Lepisosteus oculatus: one gene and its partners. The protein of the gene in region 1 interacts with the protein of each later gene in a biochemical or structural test. Links are inferred from orthologs where the notes say so. Each region holds a gene or a part of one and is shown in the gene's direction. Other genes may lie near its edges.

Evidence for each region. The genes of interacting proteins can lie anywhere in the genome.
Region 2: the proteins of pkp4 (region 1) and pdzd2 form a complex in vitro, tested with the Homo sapiens proteins (2 studies listed by BioGRID and IntAct, with this or other methods). The link is inferred for Lepisosteus oculatus from reciprocal best matches to the Homo sapiens genes PKP4 and PDZD2.
Region 3: the proteins of pkp4 (region 1) and patj interact in a test that uses a peptide from one of them, tested with the Homo sapiens proteins (2 studies listed by IntAct, with this or other methods). The link is inferred for Lepisosteus oculatus from reciprocal best matches to the Homo sapiens genes PKP4 and PATJ.

What each region holds. Positions count from the first base shown.
Region 1 is NC_090707.1:12,702,997-12,714,181, forward strand, and holds the start of pkp4 (plakophilin-4), read left to right. Parts: upstream 1-5,634; 5' UTR 5,635-5,688; coding exon 5,689-5,713; intron 5,714-11,185. UniProt on the Homo sapiens protein: Plays a role as a regulator of Rho activity during cytokinesis. May play a role in junctional plaques.
Region 2 is NC_090698.1:39,801,215-39,811,666, reverse strand, and holds the start of pdzd2 (PDZ domain-containing protein 2), read left to right. Parts: upstream 1-5,690; 5' UTR 5,691-6,499; intron 6,500-10,452.
Region 3 is NC_090704.1:29,926,258-29,936,839, forward strand, and holds the start of patj (inaD-like protein), read left to right. Parts: upstream 1-5,820; 5' UTR 5,821-6,244; intron 6,245-7,128; 5' UTR 7,129-7,160; coding exon 7,161-7,182; intron 7,183-7,609; coding exon 7,610-7,788; intron 7,789-10,582. Other genes in the region: tm2d1 (TM2 domain-containing protein 1), read right to left, coding at 1,801-1,892, 2,957-3,065, 3,925-3,993, 5,551-5,686.

The sequences.
Region 1 (11,185 bases):
GAAAAGTGTGAAATTCTTTACTTTTGGATTCAATAAAGTCACTATTCATGCCTCATTTCTGTTTACGCTGGAGCATCCTAGATGCATGTCAAATACAATTGTTTTCGTTCTTCTCCATGTCCTGTAAGGTACAAAAACCTCTTTAAAGACGACTTCAGATTAAGTGAAGATGACAAAGACATGGATATCCTTAACTCAGTATCTGAGTACGGTGCAAGGTGTTGATTGGTGTATTATGGGTGTACATTTATTAATGCCAGTATTACCCTCTTGCATGTAATACAGGTTTAGGTCCTTTGCATTATTGCCTGAGTAGTCTTCAAGCTTTTTCCTCCAGGTTAAGGTCAAGTGTGACTTGCACAACAACACTGGCATAATGTAATGCATAGCACTACAAGGGGGTGTGTTTCAGTGAATTCAAAGTGACAGCTGGTTGTGTGTCTGTGAGGGAGAGGTAAAAAATAAATGAGGCTTCAAAGCACATTATTACATAACCATGTCAAATGCAAATTGCAGCGGGGTTTCCTGTGCGGCACGAACTGTAAAAATACTAGATTGCATTGAGTGGAAGCAGTCTAGGGAAATCTGAAAATTGGAAAGCCGTAAATTCAAAGTTTAATAGGGTGAAGTGAAAGCACATAAAACAAATCTGGTTGATCAGATGTGGCTGGATAAGATTCTAAGATCAATTAGCTACTAATTACAAAAGAATCCAGATGAGCCTAATGGCCTACTTGAGTTGGCATTTAGGTTGAGAACCTGAATCAGAATACAGCATTGCCGAATATTGTTCAGTCACTAATTAAAACCTTCAATTTAGAAAGTTCATCAGGTGCTTCATCAGTATTACATGGTGATCTCCTTGGAAATTGCTCCATGCTTTGGTGGCTTCTTCTATATTACATGTATCTTATCTTAGATCTCTCTTATAACACTTAGTATGCTAAGTGATTTGGTCAGTATGTTATTTGGGGAAACCTTATGTAAGGGACGAGATTTCACGGAAATTTATTTCCTAAAGGGTTATTTTTTTCAGGTATTCTGCTTTGAGGCCTCAGACCTTCTGTTTATTTTCATTCTGTGATTTTAAAGATGTGCAGTCCTGTGATTTTTTCTAATAAAAAGGACTAGTTTTGCTCATTTCCATTTCTGAATTCCAGAAAAGGTTAAAGGAAAAATGTTAACATGATGAAATGAACATGTTCATTTCTAAGACTGTAGGTTACGGACATAGTAATAGCTCTTAATGTATGCTGCAGACATGTTTTGTGTGTTAATGAGTTGGAAAGAAGTATATGAGCAGCTGACTATACAATCTTAGCTAGTTACTATAAACATATTGAATGATTTATTACCTTTATTCAAATCCTTATTTGTTGTGTACCCTTAAACAGGTCAAATTAAGTAACACTAAGCTTCTGATTTGAATTAGGCTTTTTTTGTATCGGACAAGTAACTGTAGATCAGATTTTTTTTTTTGCTTTTTGAGAACGGTTACAATACTCTTGTTCTCACTTCATGTGAAATAACCTTTAGTTATGACCCCCTCAGGATCGCTGAATTCATTGTTTTTCACATTTTATAGAATAATTCACCATTGCCCCACGCACCGATGTGACACAACTGTAAACTGTAGTGCGATTCCAAAAAGTTGTCTTATTCTGTTATTTCAGGATTTTGTTTATCCATTTGCCTGAGTACTCAGTGTTTACAGACGTTGTGCCAAACAAAGTACTGGGGAAAAAGATCATCACAGGATTTGTGGTCTGTCACAAGCTTATTGAAGAATCAAAGCTATAATTGTCTTATTTTGATCATGCTATTGTTTTGGAGTTCACAGATATTGAATAACTGGATTCCCTTGGGCTAGTGCTTTAGCTGAGTTGCATTCTTTTTCTTCATCCTCTAAAGAAAGAAGATAGTAGTTTGAAGCTTTGAGCTGTTTCACCAGAAAATAAAAAAATGTACTTTTTAGTTCATGCTGTTATTTCTTTGGATTTTATATTATCAGTAAGTCAAGTGAACAAAGTTGTTTATCTTCAGATAGAACCCCCCTTCTCTTATAAGTGCAGGTAAATGTACAGCTAACGGACAGAAAAATGGAAACACTTGGGTAAATTATGGACAAAAAATGTAATGAAAACAAAGGCTTTTACACAGCTAAGGCTCATGCATTTTTTAAGCAAATAATATCCCAGCATGCTGTGGGTCATGTATAAAAATATTGGACATGCCTGATTGCTTTTTTTCAGGTATGATTGCTTTTTTTGCTTATGATTATAATTAGTATGACTGCAAGAGAGGACCCCAGTGACCTTGAAAGCCAGACGATTGTTGGGGTGTATTTGGCAGGAGCTTAAGTAACCAAGATGGCTCCACTTGCTGTTGATTTTATGAGCAGTGGTATTTAAGGTAATGTCACCATGGAAATCTGAGTGGGCAGAAGTGCGTACTACAAGACAGCAATCTATGTATTAATGTGAGGTGAGAGGCTAAGCAGATGCGCAACTGCTGATCAGCTGACTGCGAATTTCATTGTGCAGCCAGTGCACAGGGGTCCACCGAGAAACTGTGGTCAGGTTGCAGTGAAAGAAAACACTCATCACACCTGACAATGGAGTTTTGCCAGTCCAGTCGTGCAAAGAGCACAGGCAATGGATTGCCAAGCAGTGGCGAAGTATGGTATGGTCAGGTGAATCATCCTTGTCATGTTCTTGACACAAAGGACGAGTGCATCTGTGGTGCTTACCTATCAAACTCTGAGTGCTTGGTGCCAACAGTAAAGGGTTCTGTTATGTCATGAGGCATAGTTTCATGTCATGGTTTGAGTGCATTCAGACTCATTCTTGGTGGTGAGGGATCATCTCTTGCAGCTGGTCTCTCCTGCTAGGAAGGGTGTTTTCCAGGATTTCATGACGGTGCCTCCATCCACAGAGTATGTGTGTTCCCACAATGGATTCTCATGACATCGCTATCCTTATGTCATGGTCTTCTCTGTCAACAGGTTATTTTACCCAGTCAAAAAACTTATGGTATATTCAGGCACAATACCCAAGACTACATTTTCCAACTCCATCAACCAGGTGAGAATTGATTAACCCATGGAAAAATGGTGCTCCATCCTACAGAATCCTAAATATTGGTAGCTTCAATATTGTGGAGCATACAGCTTGTACTGGCTGGGTGTGCTGGCCCAGTGCTCTGTTAAGCCACTTTACATTGGCATTTTATCCATCTGTATATTTCACAGAGATAAGTACATTTTCCATCCATAAAATATTTTTTGAACATTTCCTTTAAATACAGGGCCTTTGGGTTATGCTTTTGCTGTTATAACTGCAGTAGTTTTCAGCGTGCCAGCTTTGCTTAACTAGCTATAGAGATGTGAAGTGTCCCGTCCTCTTCATGTTGCAGTGCGTTAAAATGTTATCACCTTAACCCTGACAAACATTTTCTTTCCCTCTTTTTAACAAGACCTTCAAAACAAGCCTGGGGTTTCCCATGGGCTTTGCATTGCCTGCGAGACAACAAACCAGTGCTGTTTCCATGACATTGTTCTAGTGAATGTGAATTTATGTGACGTGACATGAACGAGGAGGAAAAAAAAGGTCATTTTGACTTTTTGCATGTATTACAACCAGTATGGTCCTGCAGTGCTAGTACCGCAGATGTTGATTGAAAGAGAAAATAAATGACAGACACCCTCCAGGAATCTGCTCGATAAAATATATATATATATTTGAAGTAAGTTTCAATAATGTGGAGACTCATGCTTTCAAGTTTTTGTTATTCATACATTTATTTTCCCAGGGCTCTGGGGGATGGTAGGATACGTGGGGATCCCGGTATCGTGACACTAGGAATTTGTGATTGTAGTATTGGTGGTGGGGAGGATTAAGACCACACCGAAGGAGAATGATGAGGAAGAAGTGCTTTAATTTAACTGTTGCTGCTGTCATTCTTATGTTCAAGTCCAGTATAATGAACTTACAGGTGTTGACTGTTGATAAGTGGGCAGCTTGCTAAGCTGATTGCTTTTCTTACAAGTGTGATTGATCACCTGGTGTAAGTCAGTTCATCTCAAGGTATTATCAGTTAAAGATGGAGATCTGAACTCCTTATTGGACAAATTACACTTCACTTTGTGGCAGTTACAGTCATTATTATACTGTAAGATTTGATTGATTTAGTTTTGTTATTAATTCATTTTTTTTCACTAAGATTTAAATATTGTATGCCAGCTATTTGTTTCAAAACTCTGTTTTTATACTAATTGAAATGGCACAAAGGAAAGTTGCTGCTAAATTATTCAACTATAACAACCATCCTTCTATTTTATTTATTAAGCATTACGTTCGGACTGTTTCTGTGCTCTGCAACCCTTTTCAAAATGTAAGTTGTGTTGTGTACTGCTTAAAATGCTAAAATAAATAAAACTTTGTTTTATACTGACATGTTTCTTGAATTTTAAATGGGGGGGGGGGGGGGAATACATTTCATTGAGTGGTTATTATTGCTTTTCTGTAACAACGGCATTTCTTGAGTAATTAAGCTTTCCTTCAGTGGGGAATTTTTTTTCGTGGGCTTCCCTTAGAGTGCTTGTACAGTATGTGGATGCTGGTTTGTACCCTTAGGCAAAGAAGTCTGAATTTCCAAAATGGGGAAAAAATGCAATTGACTTCTTTAAAACTCATTAAGTGCTTCCTTCTAACCACCCCAACCCTCTTGCCCTCCCCCCTACCAAACTTTTTACAATTTTTCTAGGGAATATCTTGTTGCTGCATTACCTCCATGTGTCATACCTTATAATTACAGTCATTTGAAGGCAGGGTTGTGCAAAAGCTTCAGCTTGCCAGATGATTTGTCACATAAACGTGAATTTTAGTGCCCGAATAGATTATACCCCACTTTAGAGGCATTTATAAGGGTATTTCCATTTATCCTGAAAATAATATCTGTAGTTGGAGGGCAGGTGGGTTGTGTAGGTAGAGGAGAAAGCTTTCCAGTAAATTTCCTTCTGGAAGCTACTGCACCGCAGTGGTGAGGAAACAGTGGGAAAGTGAACATGGATATTGCCTGCAGGATCTCTGCCTGCATGTAGGCAGCCTGTTCCAGTTTCTTGTTGTAATAAAAATCTTCATTAGCCTGAAGTGGTACCAAAGTACCAATTTAAAGAGTAAATTTTACAACTTGAGCTGTCTGCTAAAAATCTCTTTATTTTCCTCTGTAAGCCATTGCATTTCAGTACATTTTTTAAAGCTGCTTTAAAAATTGTCTATGATAGTCTGGGTAAAGCAAAAAAGAATTAGCCAGGGCCTGTGTAGGAGCAAGATTGTGTTCCAGATGGGAGTGGGAATGGTGTGGTGAGGCTATGTATGGGCTAGCTACAGGACATGACTTCTACTTAAGGGAGAGTCTGAACATTTCTGTAGGTATTTGTCATCCATGACTCTGCTTCCTCTTTCTCACTTTTTCAGGCCCATCCTTGTGTGTACAATGAGTTATAATGGGCTTGAGGTTTACATATTAAAGCATTTTTATCATAGGGTACAAGGTACGTTTACAGCAGAGCTGACCTGATAATCATTCAGGTAGCAGGAAATCCCCCAGTCCGTCAGTTTAGCAGGAAAAGAGCAACACTTTTTAAGATGCAGGACTACGTTCCCCTGACACATTCTTCTTCAGTTTATGTGCAGGATAACCGGGTATAAAGGTATGTTATTATAACCTTTCTGTTTTATACACTGAAATCTTTAAGCAGCAGATCAAATTCTGCTGTTTTTTAAATTCAAATGAGCATTTTTTCTGAACCACATTTCTCTTCTTCAAAACATAAAAATGTTAGCTCTGGCTGGAAAGATTCCTGAGCCCTAGGGTGTGTCAAACTGAAAGTAAAACATTTTTGGCTGTCAGGCGAAACTCAAACATTGGTAGAAAAATCCCAGAACAGCTTTGTTTTCCAGTGTGAAGTAACACATCTTGCTCAGTGGACCATTTTAAACCCTTTTTTTTCTCTGCTTTGTTTCAAATGACTTGTCTACTGGCAAACAAGTGTAAAGTCTAGCCTGTTGAAGTTCATTAAAAACTTCCGATTTGCTCAATCCTACCCATGTGTTTTTGTGTTTAAAAAAATTGCTCTTTCTCTAACTGCTCTGTATTCACAGCCCTGTCTGAATTAATCTTTGCTTCAGCCTGCCTTAAAAAGGCCGGTGTCTGTTTGTATAATGTGAATACACTTTGTGCTTTGGTGGGTCAGATTTTCTTATGCTTTTCAGTTATTTCATTTTAGGTTTTTCTGAAATACTTTATGGACTGGGTTCGGTGAAGTTTGAAAAGATGTGGTGGACACAAGTATTACCTTTATATCACAAAGTCAAGCCGTTGTTTGAAAGAAGCAATTAAAGTTCAGTCTTTGGGCTCTCGGCAAACATTATTAAAGCTGCTGGGAGCGGTGGTATGGAGGAATTGCTTTCTTCCTAAATAGCTTTTCTTTACTACCTTTGTTTTTGCCTGATTGGCCACTACTGTATAAGCGTTTAATTTAGCAGTCTGTTGAGGTGTGAGTAAACAGTGATCTTCCTGTGCTTCTCATCTTCTCTGGGGTTTTTTTAATAAGAAACGTGATGCGTTGCATACAATATATATTAAAGCTTAATTAGTGGGCCTTTTAAACACTTTTCACTGTGCTTGCAGTGGCTGTAATTTTTCTGTTTAACAATTCTGTGTGTAAAATAAACTTTCCTTTGTGACATTGATGCAATATTGCATGTTAAAAAGTAAAATAAACTTAAATAAGTGCTACTTCAGTATAGTTTCTTCTGCAAGGCTTTTTAGTGGAGTAGAGGAGTTTATTGCCATATGTATATTAGAATTCTTATTGCGGTGATCTCCTGGGACATGCACGTACTGTGCAACACCACACAATGTAGACAGTACAGTACAACATAATAAATAATAACAACGGGAATGATAAATATGTAGTAGTGAAAGGAAAAAAAAAACGCGGTAGACCATGCAGAAAGTGCCTAGTGCAGACGTGCATTGAGTCCGAGTCATTGCAGTTAGCTGTTCAGAATGCGAATTGCAGTAGGGTAGAAAGAAGTAGGTTTGCAGGTTTTGCAGAAGCAGTTTTGGTTTCTGTTGAGCACCTGGACACCAGAAGTTAATTCTTCCACAATAATGGTTTTACCAGTGGACTCTCTGTGTGTTGGGGTGAAGAGTAGAGGAGATGAGGGACTAGTGTTAGAACAGAAGTCTGTTAAATTGAGCCACTACTCTTCCAGGCTCCTTGTTCCTTCTGCTAAATCTTGTGTATCTAGAAGTCAATGGAAATATCTGATGTTTACTTTTTTTCTTGGATACATTTAGTCAAGTTAATTGAAATGTCAGTCAGTCTGCGTGGAGCACCTGACTGTTTCATTACTTGTGATCAAACCTCGTCCTCCTGAGATGTTGATTACAGAACTCCTCTCTATGAGAATGATGAATTCCAGGTACCTGACCAGATTCCTATGGGGTTACTATATAACAACAAAAAACTACAACAGTTTGGTCTGTATCTTGTTAATTCTCCAAGATAAGATTTTTATTGTTTTAAAAATCTTCTAGATTTAGACGCCACAGGTTACAGTAGTGAATATGCCCTGCGTTACAGTAGTGGTTGTCTTTAGCTGAAATTGTCAGATGAATTGCACATAAAACTATATCTGATCTCTCTCCAGTACATGGTTATTTTGTTGTTGCGCTAGATGCAAAATAAAGGCTATAGATTATCTTATTTTTCTCCTAACTGAAGTCAGATATGATAGTGCTATCAAGATGTATCTTGTTAGACATTCTTTTAACCTAAACCCAAATTAAACTAGAAGGTGAACTCTGCCTCAATATTGTTGTGATAAACTCAGAATTTGGAGCGTTTCTCTCTGGAATTAGCCATCCAAGCCTTGTTTGCAATTTATGAATGGCACATGGGCTAAATGTCTGATTTAGTTAGTTATTTGCCTGTCTTCAGGAAAGCTATTGTACTGTACTGGAAACTTTGCCCTGAAACTGTTAGTTCATTTGTAAAGTGCTACTGCCAGATTTTTATACCCAAGCCGGGTCAGCTTTTTTTCTTGTCTTAAGCTTCATTAACTTGTAGTTTTATGTCCCTCTTGCATCAGCGCCGACTAAATATTAATGAATGAGTGCCATTCTTTTCTGTAACACTTTTATCTGATAAATGGTTTATCTAACTCTGTTACAGATTTCCTTTCAAAACAATTAATCTTTTCACTAGTATGCCGGTTTCTTCATAATAACACTTAATGCCTTGTACTTTTGTCCTTTTGAGTGGCTTCAGTAGCTACAGAATTATGTTTTTAATGTTGATAGTAGGAAATAGGGATTAAATCCCTCCTGTTAACCTTGTTAATGGGGAATTCGCTGTAGACGTTTGTCATGTCAGGACATGTACTGTAGACCACTTGACGTAAGCAAGTAATTCTATTCCACTTGCAGAAGGATTCAGTGTTGCAGATCTGAAAGTGTTTAACCCTCGCCTTGCTTTCTAATGCTTTGTTTTCAACACTGATAATTCAGTGAAGCTTGTGTTTTATGGATAACGAATTGCTCATTAAAGCCATGTGTCAAGTGTGGGGAGTGGGGCAAAATTATCCCGTATACCTCTGTGCTGTAGAGATTTGTGATATTTGTCAGCTGTGGTCAACAAGATCTTGCAAGGGAGTGCGTGGCTCAGTTCATTTCGGTGATGCATGTTATATTGAAAGAAAATAGTAAATGGTTCTTAAGCACTGTGTCCCATTGTAGATATGGGGCTGTAATTGATGGGGCTTATTGCAAGTGAAGCCAGAGAGAAGCTGAGGGATGAAGTCATCTGACCTCATGATGAGAGGCAGGGTGGACCAACTGCAGGCGGGTTAAAACACAGCTGTTTCTTGGCAAAACCAGAGGAGATGGGGGGATATTAAATGACTTGTAAAGAGGATTTGGATTTGAATACTGTAATGTGCCAAGACAGCTTGGTTAGCTGCAAATGGACTGCCAGAGTTGGAGTAGCACTGCAGTGTTTTTTTTAGAACTGGCTAAAAGCAAGAAAAAAATTAAATCCCATTTATTATTTGATCCCTACAAAATACAGAACACTCAACCTGCTGTTTAAAATATATGGCTTTAAAAACACAAAAGGCTTCCGTGTTGTCTTTTGATGTTCTCCAGTTGGATCGCTGGACATGTCTCGTATAGCAGGCCACTTTCCCTTCGTGTCCATTTGTGTCTTCTGGCTTGTGTTTAACTGCCAATTCCCAAGATATCCAAAAGATTGACTTAGTCAAAGCCCCTGAGGATTATGAATACGCCCATTTCCATACTTGCCTACAAGTTCTGTCAAGCAAGCCTTCACATAACCCGATTTTTACGCAAGTCGGAAGTAATCCTTTCTTAGTCATTGCATGACTATGTGCAGTATTACCATTCATGACATTTATAAATAAGACATTTATGAAGTTTTAAATCCTGGTGATTAGATTGATTAAATATCAAATATAGTATGCATTAAAAATGTGCTGGAAATAATGAATCAGTGGAGATGGAGAGAGGGAGATTGATACACAGAGCTTGCCACATATTGGTGAAAACAAAGTGTCATTTAAGCATAAAATGGAGCCCAGGTTGGATGTCGGTGCTGACCACATTATGCTTATTCTGCACTATTCATCCATGGAAGGAACTCACAGCTTGTGCATTCATTGCATTATGCAGTTTTAGTACAACATCCCTTGGTTTCAATTTGACACTGTTAAACAATTTTGAATTGTTTTATTTTTTTTTATTTTCCTGTCTAGGAAATGAAAATGTCAGCATGAATGCTTCTAAGTCTTTTTCATTGGTGATGTTCAAGCTCACAGCTTCCCACCGTGTATATTTATAGGTTGTTACCCGTTATTTGCCAGGTGTGGACCCTACCTCAAATCGCCTAAAACTTTAAGTTTTTATTTTTTTGTGTTTTTTACTAGTCCCAAGAAGGTTAAAAGACCACGTTCTTCTTTTGTACCACCGATATGTCCTTAAGTATTACCTAGTAGACAGTACTTACTGCCTACACACAACACTGATTGTATTTGACATCTTTTAATTGCATCACATGTGCTTAATGGTTCTAAGTTTGTCTGGAGACGCAAGACTTCAGAGCACTCGGCCTTCTTGCAAAACCAGGACAGTTAATTTGTTTTTAAGAAAGAAGCAAAACTTGAAGAACTAGCCAGGTTACCTTTGTAACTGCCATGCTGCTCATTTGAAAACATTTTAAAAGACATCTGCACTATAACACAGACTGAGAATCAAGGGCTAAAGTGAGGTATGAATGATTGTGTACAGTAATAGACTGTTAATCAGCTAGTGAAAGTACATTTGTTTGGTAAGTAAAACTGGTTGGAAAAAGAGCAGTGCAGTCCTCTTTCTAGTACACTCTTGGTTATTTAGAGCCTTAAAGCTTCTCAAAGACTTGAAAGTCCAGGGTTTTCTCTTCCACTAAAGATAATTTTCTATGAAATCACATACATTTAAATAACATAACAGCTTATTTTTGGGGAAGTTGCTTTCAAACAATATGGTACAGAGGGGGACTGTCAGAATTTACAGGTATGATTTCTTTCTCGTAACAGAATATGGCTCTGTAGTTACTGGAGATGGGCAGAGGCGTGATTGTGAAAGAGCAGACGTTATTTATGGAAACAGGACTGGTCCTAGGTTTTCATGACAAAGCTGATGCTTAGTAGTATGACATTTTGTTTTGTGACAGCTGTCCATTGATCTGTGTTTTCTGGCCAGGGTACAAAAAATACCCTAATTGAAAGGGATATAATCTTAATTATAATTCTTAACACTACTAATTTATTGGAGGTTTAATTTTTCAGGATTATCAATAGGCTTGTGGAAAAAGCATTTCTTTTGTTTATGTATGTTACATGATAATAACAATGAAAAGGTTGCTAAAGTACACCAAGATTGGAGTCTAAGTGCGTGATTTTCATTTTAAATAGCTTTTAAATAGCTATCTGTCAAGTCGAAAGATTCCGAAAAGTTGCATTCCCTTTGAGAAGTGGAGTGTGCACTGCAGCTAATAACTAGTCTTACAGGAAAAAGTCGAAGACTAACAATTGTAACACCCTAATGGGTTTTCTGTACT
Region 2 (10,452 bases), on another chromosome or scaffold:
TCATATTTGTCAAAGAAAACTCTAAAACAACTGTCAGTGATATTGCCAACAACCTCTAGAGTGCATGGGGTGAAGGTATAAAAATCGACAGTCAGCAGTAGACTGAGACTGCAGAATTACAAGGATATGAACCTCGACTGGCACCGAGGACAAAACAGATTAGTACAAGAAAGATCCAGGAGAGCTTGACACAATGTTTTATGGATGAAAGAGATCAAAATAAACCTCTATCACAGTGACAAAAAGGAGAAAGAACCAAAAAACATGAACTCAGCTGTGAAGTATGATGGAGCTAATATCATGTCCTGGGCATGCGTGGCCACCTCTGGAACCGACTCACTCATATTTATAGATGATGTTCCTAATTTTGGCAGCAGTAGAATGATTCTGAAGTTCATAAAAACATTTTTAGATGCACTAATAGTGATTGGGTGCAGCCTGTCCATGAAGCATGACATTGACCCAAAACATATGGTCAATACAATTAAGGAATTCACCAGGAGACAAAAGTGGAAAATCTTAAACTGGCCAATTCACACTACAGATTTACTGTAAATGTATTTGAGTGGCTGCAGAAAAGCATTTCAAATGATTACTCAAAGGGTTTGGTGAACTCAGTCAGCCACAGGCTTCATGCAGATTTGCGATCGTGACACTAGGGCCATTTCTCCCAGAAGCCTATTAACCTACCAATATGTTTAGAGAAACCACGGTAACCAGAGAAAACCCAAATGAACACAGGGAGAACATGCAACCTTCATACAATTAGCACCCCACATCTGGAATTGAACACAGGGACCCTGTGAGACAGCAATGCTAACTAAACACTGTGCCACTGTGGACAAGGTTATGGGACAAGGCCAAACAAACAGACCAGATCAGCTGAAGCAAATCTAATGAAGAGTACAGATGGCAGTAGTCTTTCAGTGTAATTAGAAACATTTGGTAAAAATTAAGTGGCTGATGATCCTATCTGTCCTGTCTAGGGTGTATCCAGCCTTGTGCCCATTGCTTGATGGGATAGGCTCTGGCTCCCCCTCGACCCTGAATTATATGAAATGGTTAGAAAATGGATGGATGGATGAGTATATTGTTTAGTAAAACCTGAGAAGGGGTTTAAAGTTCATGAATATGTCTATTTCTAGTTGTGGGATTAACAACATAAATCCCTGTGATATCTAACTATTATACTGCTATTTACACATTGTAATGGGTTTAGTTAACAAATTAGTCATTAACTACCATATCACTGACTTCAGAATATCACAAAAGATTTCTCTTTGAGTTTAAAATACGGAATAATTATATGTATTGCGTATTTAAATTGTTATATGTTGTACAGAAACAGTAGTGTTTAGCCTACTTAACTTTATTAATTAATTCTAACGTTTGAAATCTCACTGATGATTGACAAAAAAGCATGAGCAAAGCTTTTTCAAAACTGTCAGTTCTCAATATCACTACTTTAGTAGAAAGAAGAAATCACAAGAAATGACATGCTTCACTGTTAATTGGACTTGGCCAGGTGCTAATTATGTAGGACCATTATGTTGCACCATTAAAGATAGAGAGACTATAACACTCTTTACAAGAACAATTGTGAAGAAGTATCTGAAGGATCAGTTACAAAGAGGAGCTTTTCATTAATCATAAGGTTCTCCATCATTTGCAAAAATAATTGCCCAAAATAATTTGCATTTGCAGCTGGGAGAAAAGGCACAACCATTTTGCACCAGCACATTGCATAATAGATATGCAAGGGAACAGCTCAAATGAACACTAGTGATTAATGAACATGTATCCACGGATGTACTGTATGTTACCTTAGCATTTTTTACTATGTAGGTCTGCATCCACAAATCACTAGCACAATAATCTTTGAGATAATGTGGATTCAGTCCTAGGAGTAACTGGGACTCAAACAAATGTGAGTGCATGACAATTGTATAACCAGTATCATTGAAGCAACATTTGCTACATCTTCTTAGAATCAAATACTATCAAATGCTGGCTCCACAGTTTATAGCCAAATGTCTTAAAGAAACAGATAAATCCAGAAACCTTCAAAGCTGTTATCTGGGGATAAATGGAGAACCCCATTTATTGCTGGGTTAACAGAAGAGACTTTCCTACATTATCCATAAGCACAGGTATTATGTTTCAGTTAATTATAAACAGAAAACAGCAGTACATGGATTTCATGTTTCATATTTGTCTCATAAATTTGCATAGGTTATGCTGCACTAAGTAGATAGCATGTCTGGTCTTATCTGGAAGAGCAGGTTGCCATGGAAACAAAGTAAAACGTTCGCATGAAACATCCATAACCTTCCAGTGCCTTATGATGTGGCAGAAATGTTAACTGTTGCTTCTCTTTTTGACAAAATTCAATTGATTGTTTCAACCTGATTTGTTAAATATCATTTTCAAAAGTAGAACTTTCTGAGGTGAGACACTTATTTGTTAAAAGTATACTATACAATATTTGAGGAAAATAAAAAAAAAATGAATTAATGATTTCTTCCTGGTATGGCTATATGAACATGTTCCAAGTGCATACAAGGTAATATTTAAAACCCAAACAGCATTTTTCCAACTATATTTTTCTAAGGCTGACATTACTCAGAGATCCATAGTATTAATGAGTTCAGTCTTTCTGAACAACTGGCCCATACTTGTTTGCAACATGTACTTAGTTGTTCATCAGCTTTTGATCAATGAATGAATCCTATGTGGTTCAGTATGATATCCAGTATTAGTTTCACATCAGATGGTAAGTTTTATCCAATGATCTTAATATTTCTCCTCCATTTTCCTTTGCAGAAACTTGCAAAGTATAGAAAAGTATGCTCTGGCATTTTCAACATCAACTTCCATTCATTTTTTTCAGTTTGAACATCACTTATGACTGCATGGCTTCCCTTGCGCTAACCAACAGTGGATTATAAAATATTATGTCATTGAAAAAGAGCGTACATATAATTAAACTCCTAATTATACTGTAGTACTACAGTATAATAAAACAAATCTTGCCCAAGCATTGGTTTTCACCTGCCTGCAGGAACACATTCAAGATGATATGAATAAACTCATATAAAACACTTTAAATGTTGAAAGAAACTGTCCTTGTCACCGTATTGCATAGTCCAGTTTGACTTAAAATGAGGTACATAAAAGGCTTATACAGTATACTGTATATGAATGAAAAACAGCATTGTCTAAGCAGATTTCTTAAATTCTTCCTGGGATTTATCTGAAGAGGCCACAACATCCATCATATAATCCAGTATGCATACTGCAAATTCAGTTTACCTTCCATTTTGCATCTGGATATTGCCAAAGATTATCCAATATTGTCTTAATCTGAAAGGAGGACAAAGCAGAATCCATATATTTCCAATTTACCAAAAGAATTGTTTCTGCTACAACTAAAAACATAAAAATGAGCTTTAATTGAATAGACATCTGTTTATAATCAGAAAAGTCACTTTTAAAATCATTTTGGGGGGTTAAATGGTGTGGACCATAAACTAGTATCTTAATTACTTAATTCCAGAAACTTAAAATCTTGATTTGGCAAAAAATGTGAATGAGATTACCTCCGAATTGACCAAATTTTGGATTTATGCTGTAAATGTCATAGCAAATGTGCCTGGTTCTACATAAACAAGGTTTAGCTTGTAACATTCCATACAAAACGAATTTCTTCCTGTATATTATTACAGTATACAATTTTAAATTGTAAGAATTCGATAATTATATAAAACTAGCTGGAATTAATTGATTTTTTGGTCTTTTTTCCTTTTGTTTTTAATTCATTTCAGATTATATATACTGAACTATATCTTTATTATATGTAAATAAAATGTAATATCTTAATAACTCCTATAATAAATCCTCAAAAAATTAAGTACATTGCCTTTAAATGCTGTCAATATTGTTGCTAAGTGAATCATGCCAGCAGATCCAAATTAAACAGATGGTATTAGAGTGTGTTTAGTTCTTAGGGTGCCTGTACCATATACACATATAGACTTAATCCGATTCAACATGTGTGGTTCGAACTCAAGAAGGCAGTTCACAAATGGAAACCAAGGATCTCGAGGAATCCTGCCTCTAGGATTCAAAAATCCTCCCTCAGGAGTGCCAGAACGTCATAGCAGGAGGCATCTTCTCAGTGTAATCTATGCCAAAGGAAGATTTACAAAATACTAATTGAGGGGTGTGATGGAAGTAAGGTTTTCATCTGTACAAAGCTACTAACAGAATTTTTAGAATTGTTTTAAGCAAGAAACATTAAACTTTATATTGCTTTTTTATTTGGGATATGCATGAATGCATCTGTATATATTGTATAGAAGTGCTATGCAAAAGTATCTTAGAGATACTATAGATATCTACATACTTTAACCAGATAGATACAGTGCAATCAGTAATAAAACAGTATATGTATGACTATAAATTACTCAAAGCTTCCACCAGTAGTTTCTGATATCCATTGAATGTTTAGCAAAGCTAAGAAAAAACATCTTATCATTAAACAATTTTACCTGCAGATTGTAATCTTCATAAACGGGATCCCAACAATTCAAAGTATGCATGTGCAGCTAATACAACGTATGTAGATGCAGACCTTTTCAAAATGTTCATTGTTTTAACTGTTCACTTCAAACAGAATGGCAAAGATTTCAGTAGAACTTCCATTTCATAATTTCAGTAGATACCGTGCTCCTGAAAATTTGACTGAAAAGAGCAGAACAGTGCAAAAAATGTCAAAAATATCTAATGCTTTGCACAGCATCGTGTATATTGAACAACTACTGTATACTGTATGGCTACACTCTTTCTGCCTCTTAGGCACTGCGTTCAGATGTCTGCGTAGCTCTCCTGCAGCATTCCTGGGGTTTCCCTGTTCAGCGTTTTGAGCCCTCTCCTCAGATCAAGACTGCTTCTGAAAGGTTCACCTTCGTTCAGCTTACTAACACACTGAAAAAAGATGCGATCTCAAAAACCAAAATACAAGGATAAATTCCAAAAAGCACTTTTATAAAGCCTTAAGAATGCAGTGTACATCAGGGATGATTTGTTATTAATTGATAGCATACTACATTCATGTACTGTACATATACTCTTTCTTCCATTCATCCGGAAATATTCAAAAGATTATGCTTATTCGGAATCTATATCGGAACCCCGTGTTCACATGAAAACAACTTTTGATTGATGATTTGCACTCAGACATTTGGCTTCCAATAATAACGTTTGTGAGAGACATACTGTATATTGTTTGTATAACAATATCCCTACGATTCAGAGCTTTAATTCAAAATCTCGAACAGCTTTGAGACGCTGGATTCTCAATCAAGCACAAACGCATCTGCCACTTGTACTAGAATACAACAACTGCGAAGTTAATCAGATACATTCCTGATGTTTAAATCAGGGTGAATAAAACACTAAGCCCTCTATAACACAACTCTCATTATATTCAGCTACAACATTTTATAATGTTAACTTTCTTGTGTGTTTTTTTCTTTTTTCTCACATCCTATTGGCTTTGAGGACTTGTATCATCACTGCCTTCTTTTTAATATCGATTGCCGATTGGTCACAATTGTCATAAATCAAAAGTGAAGACTCCTCCCAAATCTAACAGCGCTGCTAGATTTAGAAGAGGAAAACTGGTGCGCCTAACTTCTGTCAGGAATAGAAGAGCTTCTTTGAAAATGACTAGATTCGGAGTTTTTCCCCCCGTTTTTCTTCTCTAACGAAGCCGCACTTGGAAGCAAAGTACTGAAATTCAAGCCATAGTGTCCAGGTGATTAGCGATTGGTCTGAATCTCGAAATAGAAGATTTAAACCTCTTGAAGGGCAGTAGTTTGTTCATTCTTGCACCGTAAAATTAGTTTTTTGATCAGAAAAGTAGTGGGCATGTGTTTTTCCACTCGATATTTCTTTTACATTTTAAAGTTAAATAGCAGAGTAAGAATTTAGAAAGTGAAGGAAGCAACAGTTCTTTATTCAAACCCTGAAATAAAGTACTTCTGGGGATAATTATCCTATCTCTGTATCAATCGCATTGTTTGATCTCAGTGCTTTAGTTTCAATGAAGTGGGGAAAATGTACTGTACATACAATGATATGTATATAATTTGTGTGCAAAAACACACAAAACCCTTTCCAGGAATGTTTTGTTCAGATCTTCACATTATTATTCATCGGAGAGAACAAAGAAGCATGTCAATTTAATAATACAAAACTGTCCTGAACCTGGGAAACAACTTTTCTTGAAAAGAAAATAATTTAGCAGCCACAGTGGATTATCGTCCTGGATTGCTTCGGGGGATGTCAGGGAACGTCTACATAGAAGGAATAAATCATTTCCGAATGGAATATAGAAATGATGCAGTAATATATAACCCTGATGACTAGGTGGTCTGCTTTGTCGACCCAGATTATCAATGGGGAAAATACAAATAGCATCCAGCACATGCTAAAGGTAAGTCAGCTACTCTTAAAATACTAGCAAATTATATATACTAGATCCTTTAGAAAACAATAACCTAAATGTTTCTATAGAAATATCAAATTTCTGTAGAAGGTCTGGCGTAGTTTTGTTTCGGTAAGGGACATCCAAGAAAGGAGACTGCTAATTTCCTACATCAAAGTAGAATTAAACAGAATGATTTGTTCAGATTAAGTTGAAATCCCATATTACATACAGAATAATATTCTTGTAGTATTCGGGGTATTTGACATTTTAAACAAAGTTCGAGATAAGAGTAGCATTCATTGTTCGAGCGTTCGATCTTTGTTTAACAATGTAACAACATGTACTGTATAAACGTAAGCAGTTGAGACTACCGTTTGGGTGGTAATTGGTGACAGATGTACAGATGATAATTTAACAGTTCAGATTCTGAGCTTAAAATATCAAAACCATTGCGGCTTTAGGTGGTGCTTCCGACTATTTAAAACATTTTCAATAGCAACTCCTTTCCTTTGAATCAATTTTACCAGCTGTCTAATAATTCTAAATAGTCCTCGTTTTTTGTTAGAAAATACCCCCTCACGCAGTCATAAACCAATTGCATTAGATCACAGCTCCAGAAAAGTTTATTGGAAAAACGTTTTAATATATCCTGTGAACTCCATATGGTTATGACACACTGAAGAGGTGGCATTTCTTTCCATTTTCTCGGTACTGGGTAACATTCAACATTTTCTTTTTTTAGATCGGTTTCGAAAAGACTGTTCAAAACCATTTTTTGACACTTAGACAGTTAACTGAATTTTCATGCTTTCGTTTTGTGGAAAACTGTGAATGCAAATAGATACGAGCACAATTCTCCAGTTATATGGACCACTAACAGTGTTGAGGCGCGTTTCGTTTCCCATCCTAAATCCATTAATATAAAGTTAAAATGAATGGTGAACTGTGGACGGTTGTGCTGTACATGTATTTCGAGTCTTTTCTTTGAAGTACTACATCCAGTGAGAAGTACGTTGCTTATTTAAGTAGGACCTAAACGTAATATTATATTAGATTTGCTAACACCTCGACCAACACACTTCTTTTGGGATATGATAGGACTATGATATGATAGAATTGGCTCTGCAATGCTGAGGAAAACGCATTAAGTATTTCACTACTGTGGTAGTGGATAGGTTAAGTCCCTCAGTACCAAAAGAAGTTTGTTATTCTGCTCCAGATTTCCAGTGTACCAATGGAAAAACTTGACACATGGATACTTTACTGGGCGGAGAAGACTTTTCAGCTTTTGCTAGCATGAGACTGTAAATTAAATGACAAATGTTAAGAGCTAGACAGCTCACTTCCATCATTTCCTTTACCCTTCAACATGCTTTTGGCCCAAACAGATCAAATTAAATATCTGTCCCTACAGGGCCTAAGTCAACACCAGAGCCTTGAGGATGAGGTTGGTACAGTTGGAAAATCAAAGATGAGTCATGGTAGGGTCATACTGGAACATCATAATTGATTAGTTTACTTGACAACTGTTAGATAATGCTTAAACCTTGTATGTTTATATTACATACTCTTTTTAACAATAGAACTCTAAAATGTGTCCAAACCACTAAAATACATTCCCAATTAGTATAATTATATAAAACATAAGCATAAATTCATCCCCAACTGCTTGTTCCTTAAAGGGGTAAATAATTGAAAAAACATACTGTAAAGTAATCTTATCTATTATATATATATTAGATCAGAATTGAGAGGAGGTCTGAAATTACTGTGAGCATGATAGTATAGTTTGTATTTATATGGTCTATTAAGGATAGATAAATACTTTTACATTTCTTATATTTTTAAAAACCTGGAAAGACTTTAAACACGCATCTTTAATAAAATGTCTTACTCAGAGTTTACTATTATTATGTACTGGTCTTATCTCTCTGCACTTTAATATTATGCAAAAGGTGAGGAAGTCCCACAAAATCTGGACATCCTACTATGGACTTGTTATATCCATCCATATTCTAACTGCTTCTTCCAATTCAGGGTCTCAGGGGAGCCGGAGCCCATACAGGCGAGCAGAGGGTACAAGGCAGGGTACACCCTGGACAGGACACCAGTCCATTGCAGGGCAGACAGACAATAACACATAAGAGCTCACACCAGCACCAGTTTTCTCAGAAGACAACCTACTGTACCAGTATGTTTTGGACTGGACTGGAACATGCAAACTCCACATAGATAGCACCCCAGGTCCTGTATTGAACCCAGGGCTCCAGCACTGCAAGACCACAATGCTGACCACAGTGCCATCATGCTGCCCGTTCTGGTGTTGTTTCAGTAATATACTGTATTTCTAAGAATAAAACTAACTCAAAATTCTGCAGAGTACTCTACATACATGTACATAAATATGTAGAACTGTTAACTACTGTGCCACCATGCTTCCTTTAATTAAATACTGTACATACAAGTGATGAAAAGCTATAACAGTAAATGTGTACTAAACAGATGCTTATGAAGGCTGTATTTAATCTTAATTTACTGGCTGCTATGCATCACCCAGGTTGAAGTGTATTGCCTTCTGTATGCAAAAAGCTTTGAGATCCCTTGGGTTGAAAAAATTGCATTTGTGTTGAACATGTTACTGTTTCAGCAGAAATGTTTGTGCATCTGCAGACAGCATCAGCCTTTTCCACATTTACTGAGACAACACTTTTGTCACTTTCAGTCCAATTGAGATGAATATTTGTAACAGTTTAATCATTTCTGAACTAAAACTACAGAGAGTAGTTTAGCTTAGTGTTGCCTCCTTCGGTACTTTTCTTCTTTTTTAATCAAACTATTATATTGATGCCACATATTTGTTCAAACGGTCTTACATTAACAGCTTCAGAAATAATATGCTTTTGTCATACCTTTTTAAGCTTTTTAAGCTAACTTTACTAGCTTGTCTCTCTGATATTTTCAAATACACGAATAAGAGATTAAGCAGTCTTGTGGTGTATTTTCCTGAAAGTGGAATGGTACCACACATCTGAGTTTGCATTGCTGGATACCAATTAATCACCTGATGGAAGCTTAATATCACATGACTGAGAATTCATCGACTGAAATTAAAAGGAAAGTGGAACCACTGTGAATGTTTTTACAGCAGAACATTACTTTCAACTTTTCAATTACAATTTCAACTTTTCAAATCAAGTATGTGTTATTATGATTACAAATATTCTAGGCTATTCTCAAAGGTTGTCCCTGTAATGTCTGTCGTCATTACTGCCCGTTATCATAGTCTGATTCAACAGTGGTTGAATGTTAAAGGAAAGCTGCCTCTGTGTTGTGCTATGTCACTAACATGAACTGTATTGAATGCACCACATCTGTCTAGTATTTGAACATAGAGGATATGTCTGCTGTATAAATAGAAATGCAAAGTGCTATAGATAATTTTAGCAATTATTTAAGCCTGTGCTGCATCAGTGGAATAGATAGCAAGGCTTAAATGTCTGTCTGTTTTAGGAAAGAAGTCTAAAAATATATATTAGCAGCATAAGGAAGAAACCATGATGTTTTCTTATTATTCTTACAATGCAAAAAGAGACTGTGCTCAAAACATGAGTACATTTCTCTGAAAGTGTAAATGGTACTGGCAGTTCTGAAGCAGTGTGTGCGTTTGACATTGTTCCCATGTTTGTCCTCTGGCATTTAAAAGCAGCCAGAGAAATCCATTGTCAAATCCTGTTATTACCATTTTCTCCCTCTCTTCAAGTGTTCTTGTATTGGTGCTTATCTGAAAGTATTAAGAACACAGTTCTGAAAACCTTACCCCTTAAAATAAACTATAGTATTTGTGTCTTCTTCATGTTGCTGATGTTTTTAGAAGTGACATTTTAAATACTGTGCGTCAGATATTGTTTTTGCTCCAAGATTGTTGTGAAAGGCATTTAAAATGTGAAAGCGTGAAACCC
Region 3 (10,582 bases), on another chromosome or scaffold:
CCACTTCTTATTTTAGGACACTGCTAGTTTTCACTTGGTGTCACACTGGTTCAGCATTGCTGCCTCACAGCATGGAGGCCCAGGGTCCAATTCTGGACCGGGGGTACCAAATGTGTGGAGTTTGTATACATGCTGCATGTTCCCAGTTGCATGCTGGATGAATAGTGTTGCTTGGGTGACACATAGGCAGCTTTCTTTGTCTCAAAGTTTTTCCAGCCATTGATCATCCTCTTACCAAATAATTCAATAAAGTGTATTGTATAGGTAGTCTTAGTCTGTACCTTGTATTCACACTGTAGAAAAAAAAAAACTAAAACAAAGTTACTGTGAGGAAAAAATAAATAAAAAGAAATTCAATGCAATATTTTGAAAATGACATTGATAGTTATTTTAAGAAATACCGTAATGTTAAGTAAGTAATGTAACTTAACATTTAACAATTCAACTTAACATTAAATAAATGAAATGGTGAAGTCTACAATTACATAAAATGATGAACATTTAGTTGAAAAATAACTTTTAGCACTACTATGTAAACCATCTTCCGAGAATAAATTAATTGTGATTGCTTTTATGTGGGAGTTCAATGTTCCCCGTATTTGGGAGCACACCCGGAATGCATTGTCAAAATTACATTTATAGTTACGGGGACTAAGTTTTTACTTTACACTCTCTTGATATACATTTAGGAACACATCGGCCACTTAATCATGACCTACCTGTACATGCTTGGTGCATCAAACTATTTTTAATATTCAGATCTTCACAGTGCATCTAAACAGGAGGGGAGGCGTTTGCTATAGTGTCCCATGTGTCACACGTCACAGACCAGCCTCTCTTCCGCAGAATGAAATCTCTCTGGTGTGGTGGAGCTGCATATCCAGTATGTCAAAACAACTAGCCCCATGAGGAATTCCCACACCCTCAGCTCCTTTCCACATTTCTATCAACAGCCCGGCACAAAATAAAAGAACTGTCTCAAACTGTGTTTATTGTGCCTGTGCGTCCTTGGACCCAGACCACAGCTAACTGTGGCCAAGAACCCCATTACAGTAAAACCACGGTTTGACGAACTTCTCTTTAATGAATTTAATGGACAAAATCTGCTACAGTTGAAATTTTTCTGTAAGGTCACAAAATAACCGACTTTCCCCACAATAACAGATAGAGTTAAATGCAAAAAATGATAAGTTGCATTTTTTGTACAACATATCTTTAAATAGGTCTAAAAGACATGACTATTGATGGTGTCCACTAAGATAGGGCAATTGGTATAGCATGTAGCAATTGCGTGACACATATACTCATATACTGAGTGTTTTATTTCCTCACAGGGAAGGTGGTCATTGTTATTGTGGAAGTTACCTGCTTTAAAACACGGGGGTAGGCAAATTGGTTACGCTGAGTGTTTGAATATCATCTCCTTTAGCGAATTGTATATAGTATATTCACCATACATGAAATAAATAACTTGTGTATTAATGATAAAAATGGCACTTAACAATTGCCACTGATTATGTTGATTGCAATTGATAAAAAATCCAAAAAAGATCCACACGTGATTTAAGGGACATTCAGCAATAATGGACACCCCTTTCCCCTATTAGTCTGTTAAACCAAGGGTGTACTGTACAAACAACTTCACATACACAATCTGTATATAACTGAAATGAAAAATGCAAGTGGGATTTTTCCTCTTCAGATGATACCGTTTAGGAGTGCCAGTAATTGTCTTTCTGACTGGAGGATGTAACACAAGAGCCTGTGTGTGTGGCATGTAGCAGCAGCTGCTGCACTCACCTAGTGCTGGATAGCCCAGATAGAAGCGGTCAGCTCCCAGCCAGCCAAGGAAGAGGGACAGGGCGACTGCAACTTTGTATGAATAACCACTGCTAAACACACAAAACAGGACAAAATAACGAGGTCAATAAGTGAGACTCCACACAGCTGCTCCCAGCCTCTTCTCAGGTGAGTCTATTCCTGCGATCTACTGTTTCTAGCTGACTGCTTCAGCCCAGCTATGAGGTGGTCAAACTCAGGCAGTGTGTCAGGGCTGGTACAGAGCGGCCTTGTTCAACAGAATGGCAAGACGGAACAACATTATAGACATGTCTGCAGTGTTTGGCACCAGGGAAAGCAAACTACTGGCAAACTCTCCTTTCAACCGCTGATCAAGAAGAAGACCCCTTAACCTTTAAGGTGAATACTCAGATTAATTTGCTACTGCAAATTCAGAGCTTCAGAGCTGTAGCCATGAATTCACTGGGACAAAACAGAGAATAATCTGAAAAGCGCTAATACAATGGCCAAAAATCCCCATTTATGATAGGCAGAAAAGGTCTGAAGGTTTTACTCAACAACAAAGGGCAGAGATTTGGAGAATTTCCGCAGCAGTTCGTCTTTAGCAACACGGAAGGAAAACAAAAATACTAGAATTGTGATTTCTGAGGCTTTGAATCTTACCAGTTGGCACTAGAATATGAAAGCCTTGCTCAGGCTTCCTTATGAAAAGGAAATATTTTACAGGGTCGGTTTTGAAAGGGCTTTACAAGGTCAGTGCAGCTTTGGGTTTCACTCATTTTGACTAGGAGAGATGTAGAGATCTGGCAATGCTGAAACATTCAAAGGAATAAAGGAAAAGCATGAACTTCTGCCTTGTCTCTGTTTTCAACACATTGAAAAATGAAAGAATATATCAATTTACTTTGGCTGACACTTTCACCTAAAGCAATACCCAGCTGCATTCATTCATACAGCTGGACTTTTTAATGGAGCAGTACCTTGCTCACAGGTACAACAGTGGGACCTTACCTGGATTTGAACCTGAAAAACTTCCAGTTATGGGTCAAGAGCCCCTAGCTACTCCACACTCCTGCCTGCCATTTCATTTATAAAGGAGAAGTAAACCTGGATTTTCCATTTTAATTGCATGTTCATGTAGAAGTGGTTTACTTACACATTTCGGCAGGGGATAGGTTTGTAAAATCCAACTTCTGCTCCTGTGAAATTCATGACTGTCATATTGGGACACCGACAAATTATCCCACGGGCAGGAAAACACTCAACTGAAAAGGTTCAAGAACACAGATTCAGCTTAACATAAAAAGAGTTAAAAATTCCATAACAATAATATCAGCTTGCTACTTAATGCAGTTTTGTGTTCAATAGTAGTAAGAAAAATAACTTTTTACCACTAGTTATAATACTATCACTACTATTTTTACTGTTGCTTTGTTAAAAACACTTTTACAAAATAAGAAAAATGTTTCTGAGGCCAGTTGTTTAGAGAACAGACGTTTGCTTGCAGGTTTTTTTGATCAGTAACAAATTGCTTGCGAGTCCTTGCACTAGATCAAAAGTTGTGCATCACTCTACAATAAACCCCTGGCCCTACACGATACGTGAAATTGACGTAGTCATTTCATCTAATAGTTTCAAGACTTTTCTGCGACTAGTAGCATCTGATTCTTAAATGTCCCTTAAAGACATTATAAAGAAATAATACCATCTGGAGAACTTGGTCTTCTCAGAGATAAGTGACATGCCAAGCACTCTGTGCTTATATAAAGGTTCTTAAAAGCCCTTGCTATGTGATTTAAAACACATCATTTCAGGTTGTAAGAACAATATCTAGACAGCGGTCCCTCACCAGTAGCAGCATGGAAACTGCCTTCAAGACACACCAAACAGTGAGAAATAATCAATACAGTGCAGCGCACAGCACAGATACAAATAAGCAGTGCAACAATAAAGAGAGACCAAACAACAGTCCCTCTGCACTGCACTTTGATGTTCCACATGGTCTGAGCTGCCAGCTCCTGTAGGATCCAATAGGAGCCAAAACAAAGAACAAACCTAGTGAAGACCCAGACTGTGTGGGTGAAGACCAACACTAGAATAATAGTTCATTAACATCAAACTCACCGTAAGCTATTAGATCTTTACAGTTTTCTGGCTCTTGCGTGTCATCGTTTATTTTGGGATCCTTGCACAGATATGTGTTGAAGATTAAGGAATAGCAAGTATCCATTCAATTTTTCTAAACAGTCCACTTTACACAGTGCCATAATACATCTGAATCAATTAAACAGATTAGACCAGGGGTATGGGTAATTTGGGGAGCACTTTTTATTAAGGTAGTCACATACAAACATACAACAATACCCTAGGCACTGGGGACAGCAATTTCTTCATTGAATCGTCTCCGATACTGATAGTTATATTAAACAAACAGCAAACAGGGACCTAATGTGGCAAAAGGTTTGTTTGCACAAATGCCAGGATTCGAGACTGCTTATGCAGCTCATTTGTAACTCGACTTTCGCAAAATTAACCCTCGACTTTTTCGCTCTAGCATATCCAATTACTATATAAAGACTAAGCAATGGCATCGATGTAGCTCTTCATTTAATAGGGGTATCACACGAGGCTCTTCTCAGTGAATTGACACAATTTTCATAAACTTATCAAGTATGATCCAGCAGACTAGTGGATTACCCAGCATTCAAAGGTGTGCGAGCATGCAGTAATAGGCTACTGATAAAACCAATCACCAATATGACTTCAAATGTTTAACTTAGGGTGACCATATTTTGGCTTTTCAAAAAAGAGGACGGGGGGGATAATCGACACTCAACACATGCCTCCAAAGTAATGAAGCTTTATTACTTTTTCTAATCAAAAATCAATTTAAACTCTCTAGTTTTTTTTTATTAAACTTCTTAGTAAACATTTAAACAGTTGCAGGGTTGTCATTTCTCATCCATAATTGGCACACAAGGAAAAAAATCTAGCCCTATTTTAAACTTTGTTTTTCATTTTAACACAACAAAAGTCTTATCATCTGAGGAAAAATGAAGACATCATAACTTAGGAGAAGTCGTCTTTGGTTGCAAAAACCTTTTGAAATATAATGAAACAAGTTAAACATTGTTATTTCTCATGGCCATAAAAACAGCCACACACTCAAACCCTTTTCAGGCTACGCTGCGTGTAAATTCAAAACATCTACCGGTAATGCATGGAACGAACGAAAACATGTAGGCCTATGTTTGTTTACATAGTCTGAGTACGAGCAAAACAAAATCACGTACAATTTTTGGAATTTTATAAATCCCGGTCGGACCGATATTTTACAGTAGGTCTCAAAAAGAGAACATGTCCGGGGAAAAAGAGGACGTGTTGTCACCCTAATTTACTGTACAATAATAATTGCAATAAATTATATATATATAATCGGATTTGTAGGTCAAAATATGTAGGATCTCGCGTTTCTGGAAGAAGCAATAACCGTAGTTACAGGAATCGAACACCTCTAAGTCGTTGTTCTTGTTCGTATTGTATTTCACACGTCAGACGCTGTAGATTTTTTTTGCTCACATACACATATCACAAAAGTTACATACTACTACAATACGACCAAAACGTATTTTGAAAAAATCGGACTTTATATTAGAATATCGACCTCAAATACAAAGATAGATTTTAACATGACGGGAAATTCACAACAGTGTCCCGAATACAAACCAGAGGATTTATCACTTATCAAAGGATATTGTCCAAGCAGAAGTTTGTCACACTCTTTCACGTCGTCTGTAGACACCGCTGCCTCATTAGAACTTGTAAAATAAATTAAAATCCACAAAAATGACAGTAAATACAAGCCTCGCTTCCTGGAGGCAGCCATGCTGGTCGGACACGTAAGTCACGTGAGGAGGGAAGCTCTTTCACCTTAAAGGCACACAACTGGTTATTTTTTAATCTTACAAATAACGCATTTTGTTGCATAACAGTGGCTAACAATGAAAACTCCACTTAATACACACCCATAGTACAGCACCGTAGTCTTTTGGCAACTAAATAGAAATGACTGCAATTTATAATTAAGTTAAATATTCCATAGATTTATATTTAATTACTCTTTCTCAGACTCGTAACCGCAAATGGTTTATTTTAACAACGTCCCTTTCAATGAAACGAAAAAGGAGGCTTTATTCGTATAAATAATGACATGGAAAACGTGTGGATTTAGCAAAGTAACACTGGATGTTCGTAATCTGCACCAAATGTGCTTCTCCAGGTATATACACCTGTCTACACGTCCAGATCGTAGATTGGCGTAGCTGAGGAGAAAGCGCTGTTACGGACAGGGTGAGCTCTCCCTGGCACGGCTTTTTCATTTCTACACTTCCTGTTTCTCAGGTGAGGTGCGGTCATCCGTAGTTCACAAACTTCCGCTGGACAGGTAAGCCGAGAGAAATCACTGCTAAGCGCCGTTTTTTATTTCTTGTACCACTCCAGCTACCTAATGTAGATTTATACAAAAGCAAGATCAGTTGTTTAACTAGTAGCTGTTCAGAGGCGAAAGCACAGATTTTGAAATACAGCTGTATTTTAGCAAGTTTTAAGAAGCATAGCATGGACGCGGATGTTAGTCATTTCTTGCCTTTTTAAATCCTCGATATTTGCATGATTTTAATGCTGTCCTATCTCAGTTTGTAGATGCAGTTCGCATACAAAAAGTAACTTTGACAACGGAAGAAAGGAGAGAGAAATGTATTCCCGTGGTGTTGAAAATTTGATTGTGTATTTTTTCTTAATAATTACAAAAAAGTAAATGTCACTTGAATACTCTTAACTTTGTTCCGTTTCCTCGTACTTTATGAATTTTAGAGCTTAGGAGTCAGAAGGTAAATTCAGCGAGCAGAAACATATGTTACCCGAGTACAACTAACTTCCTGTTAGGCAACCCAGTTCAGAGAAGGCAAGACGTGTTGGCAAATTAAATTCAGTTTCTAAACTTCTGATGACAGTAATAGTATACCAGCTGGATAAAGATTAGCCTCGCCTCTCTTCCGCTAAAGTTTATGATGTTTATCGATACATTTTTTAAAAAGCCTATCATTTTAATTTTGCGTTCAATGGCTCTACATATCTCGTAGTTCTGTGTAGTATGGTTTTGAATACGAGCACCGTTCCCTTGGGGTTGCTGCTGTAACCTAAAATGTGCAAATCCAGCATAATTATATAACATGCAAGCCAGCTTGTTTTAGTTTAGGATTTTTCGAATGAAACAACTTTTGTAGTAAGTTTTTAAGTTAACAATCTCTTTTTTTCATTGTTCTATAGATATTAGGAGAACATCTTCAGAAGAAGAAAAAATGCTTGAAAGTATCCCATCAGGTATAAATCCCTTGATATATGTTTGTGGTCTGTATATAGTTATATTAGACATTTCTGAGCTCCTGACTTAATATGAGTGAATAATATATTCTGAACTACTGTAGGAAAGTTACAATTATGGTAATACATTTTTGGGGGCTAGAATTGGGTGGAATGTGGCCAAGGTTTCTTCCATAAGAAAGTAAATTAAGAGATAATTCCACCTGTTCACATTTCTATGTACTCCTCAGTAATTATTTCTCGGGGTACAGTTTGTAAATGCTGCGTGGGAGCAGGTTGTGTTATGAAAGAGATGGGCACTCCCTTAATCCGACAATCTTTGTTTTAGCTCAGCTGCGGCAAGGACAGGTTTCTCTTCAGGCACATTTAGCAGTCTGCTCATTCGGGAAAAGGTGGTGCCTGGCTAAGCCAGCTCTTTGGTTTGCAGTTTCGACCTCAGAGAGGCAGCAGGTCCTGCAGGCCCTGGAGAGACTGCAGTCCAAGCTGAAAGACCGGGATGACCGGACGCATAGCGAGAGGCTGGGAGCGCTGAGAGATGCCTTGCGGAGTCCGCTTCTTGGCCACATCCTGACACTGCAGCACTCCATCAAGCAGCTGAAGGAGCAGGTGTGAAAGGTCCTGGGGAGCACTGTGTTTGCTGGCTTCCTAGTCACAGGCTGCTGCTTGTAGCTTTCTCTCTGCAGTCAGCATAGAGACACATTTGCTTTCAGCTCTCAACAGGTCAAATGGGATTCGAAATAGGTATCAACCCTGTACCAGTGTCTGAGTTTCAGAATACTCATCAGTCAGGTGTGCTGCCTGAAATGGCTTTGATTGGACTTTTCCAGAAGGAAAAAAGCCTATACACCAGTGGGTGTGCCATTTCCACAGTGGGTGGGTCTGACAGTGTCATTCCCATGTGTGTCTGTCCATCATCCATCGATTATATAGTAAGACTTTTTTCATCATAAATTATGACCAATAATTTGAGCAAAGATCTGCTTGCTGGAGTTGTAGGAAGCAGTACCTTTGAAGTTGGGTATTTTTGGCACTTAGGACCGGCAGAAGAACAAGTTAAATAAAATGTCTAAACAAGCAAACTGATCAATTACAGCATGTCATTAGCACTAGAGATTTAGAACTGGCTGTAGAGTACAGTGCTCTTAGGAAACGCTATAAGTCGACAATGGTACGGAGAGCACTCTTTTTGAGTTATCATAACATGTATTGTGGCATTAACTCTCACACTCTCTCAAAAAGAGAGAAAGTCTAGAACAGACTAGAAGAGGAGTCAGAAGGGCACTAATAATCTAATTTATGTTAACCCAAAGATGCAAAAAAATATACTTTTTAGAGGATTAGAAACAATGGAGACATTTCAGTTAATTCTTTCTGGCTTGGTTGATAGTGACTTACTGACCCAAGAGTCTCATTCAGCCATTCATTGAAACATTCCAGCTATCCTGCTTTTAGCAATGTTGCAGTGTAACTTGTTGCAGATTCTGACAACATTTTGTTAAGGAAAGAAGTGTCTCCTGCTTCCAGTCCTAAATGCACAGTCTCTTTATTAGTGCTTGTGCTATTGGGCATTTGTTTCACTGTTGCCTGTAAAGGAGTGGTCTTGTTACACTTTTGCAGTCGTCATTTGGGTTAAATGGGGTGTCAGACAAGTAATATCAAAACATCAAGCTACTTGAAAACTGAAACCTGGTTCAATAGTTTATGTTCAGTTGGAGGTATGCTGAAGTAAAATATTTCAATATGTAACCTGGATGACAATATTTTATGCAGGCAGCAAGAATGTTCAAAAATGGGTTTGTCTTATCAGTGTCCAGCAGCAATGTTTGGAGAGCAGTGGCTTTCTCTTCGCTATCCTTCCTTGAACACCATTCTTATTGAGTTGCTTTCTCATAGTTGAGGCATGAATAGTCACATTAGCTGAGGAGAGGGAGACTTGCAGTTCCTTAGGATGTTACTCTGGCATTCTTTAGAACTTCTTTAGAACTTGATTTTCTGCTTTGTTCTTTAAGAGATGTTGGTAGGACAAGTGCTCTTGGGTAGAGTGTCTGTGGATTTGAACAGTCCATTTGTAGACTCTCTGACAGTAGATGGGTGGAGTCTCGTATCCTAAGTAATGGTGCTAAGTTTCGCGACTGACGACTAACAAAATCTTTTTTAGGAGGTCTTCAAAGTTTTCCTTCGATTATGGCATGACTTGTTTCCACACACCTGTATGGTGAAGACCAAACTCAGAATGTTTCTAATCTTTATATAGGGTGGGGGCTTCTAAATTTAGCCCCCTAAATCTGCCTATTTATTGAAATATATTATTCAAATTAATCCCTTAACTGCGCTAATGAAACTAGGGTTTCATTTACGTTTTCACATCCCCTGTAATTCATTACTCATTGTTTAATTCATAATTTAGTTTAAAGAGATATGAAATTGGTTATTGTAAACCCTGTTGGATTTACATTAAGACTGAAAGGTCTAAATCCTATTATGGTAAAACTGTGAAATGGAGTTCAAAGAAGGATAGCAGAGTTACTTTCTGGCTTTAAAACAACATCATACAGGTTAAAGGAATTGAATCTCCAGGTTTTAAGAGGACTTAATGTAAGTTTTTAAAATCCTGAAAGAGTTTTGTAAAGCTAGTCCAAAGATACACTTCTGAACACAGAAATATCAGTGTAAGGATAAAAATGGAAGCAAAGAAAATGCATATTTAGAACTAAAAACTGGAGGCTCTTCTTTACAGACAGGGTTGTTTTCGTTTTTTTGTTGGAACATGCCGCAGAGAAATTTAGCAATTTGCAGATTTCATGGAATGTTTTGGTCAAAAAGCAACCAGATGATCAAGATGAGCAAAGTGTCTTTCCCTGAGTTAGAACTTTTCTTATGTGATGATAGCTACTACTTTGTCATTGTATACTAAGTATTTTTTAAAGTGAGTTTCCATGTACAGGAATGTATCCAGTAGTTGTGGGTTTGTTTATGATGTACAGTATCATTAACTAGGCTGGTATCTGGTTCTACAGGCTTGGGTATCTGCCTCCCTTATACTGATGGCACGGCCTGTGTAGTCAGTCTCTGCTGAATATGTAGCATGTTTAACAGACATATTTAACAGATCTTTTGCACAGAAAGTCCGTAGGTCATTAATACATTACTTGTTGGAGTTTCTGGCAGAGCTGGAGCATGATTTATTGGTTTTTTTAAGCTGTGGCTGGAGATAAGAGCATTTTTAGTTTTCCTTCATTGAAGGTTAAACAAAACATGCCAAGTCAAATTCTTTTTCTTGAAATAATAGTCTAATTATCATTTGTAACCTTTTTTACACTACTTGTACAGATTGTACTTTCCCCAATGAGTCCTGTTGCGTATAAATCTGAGAAACTCATTTGATCCTATTAGTTCTGTT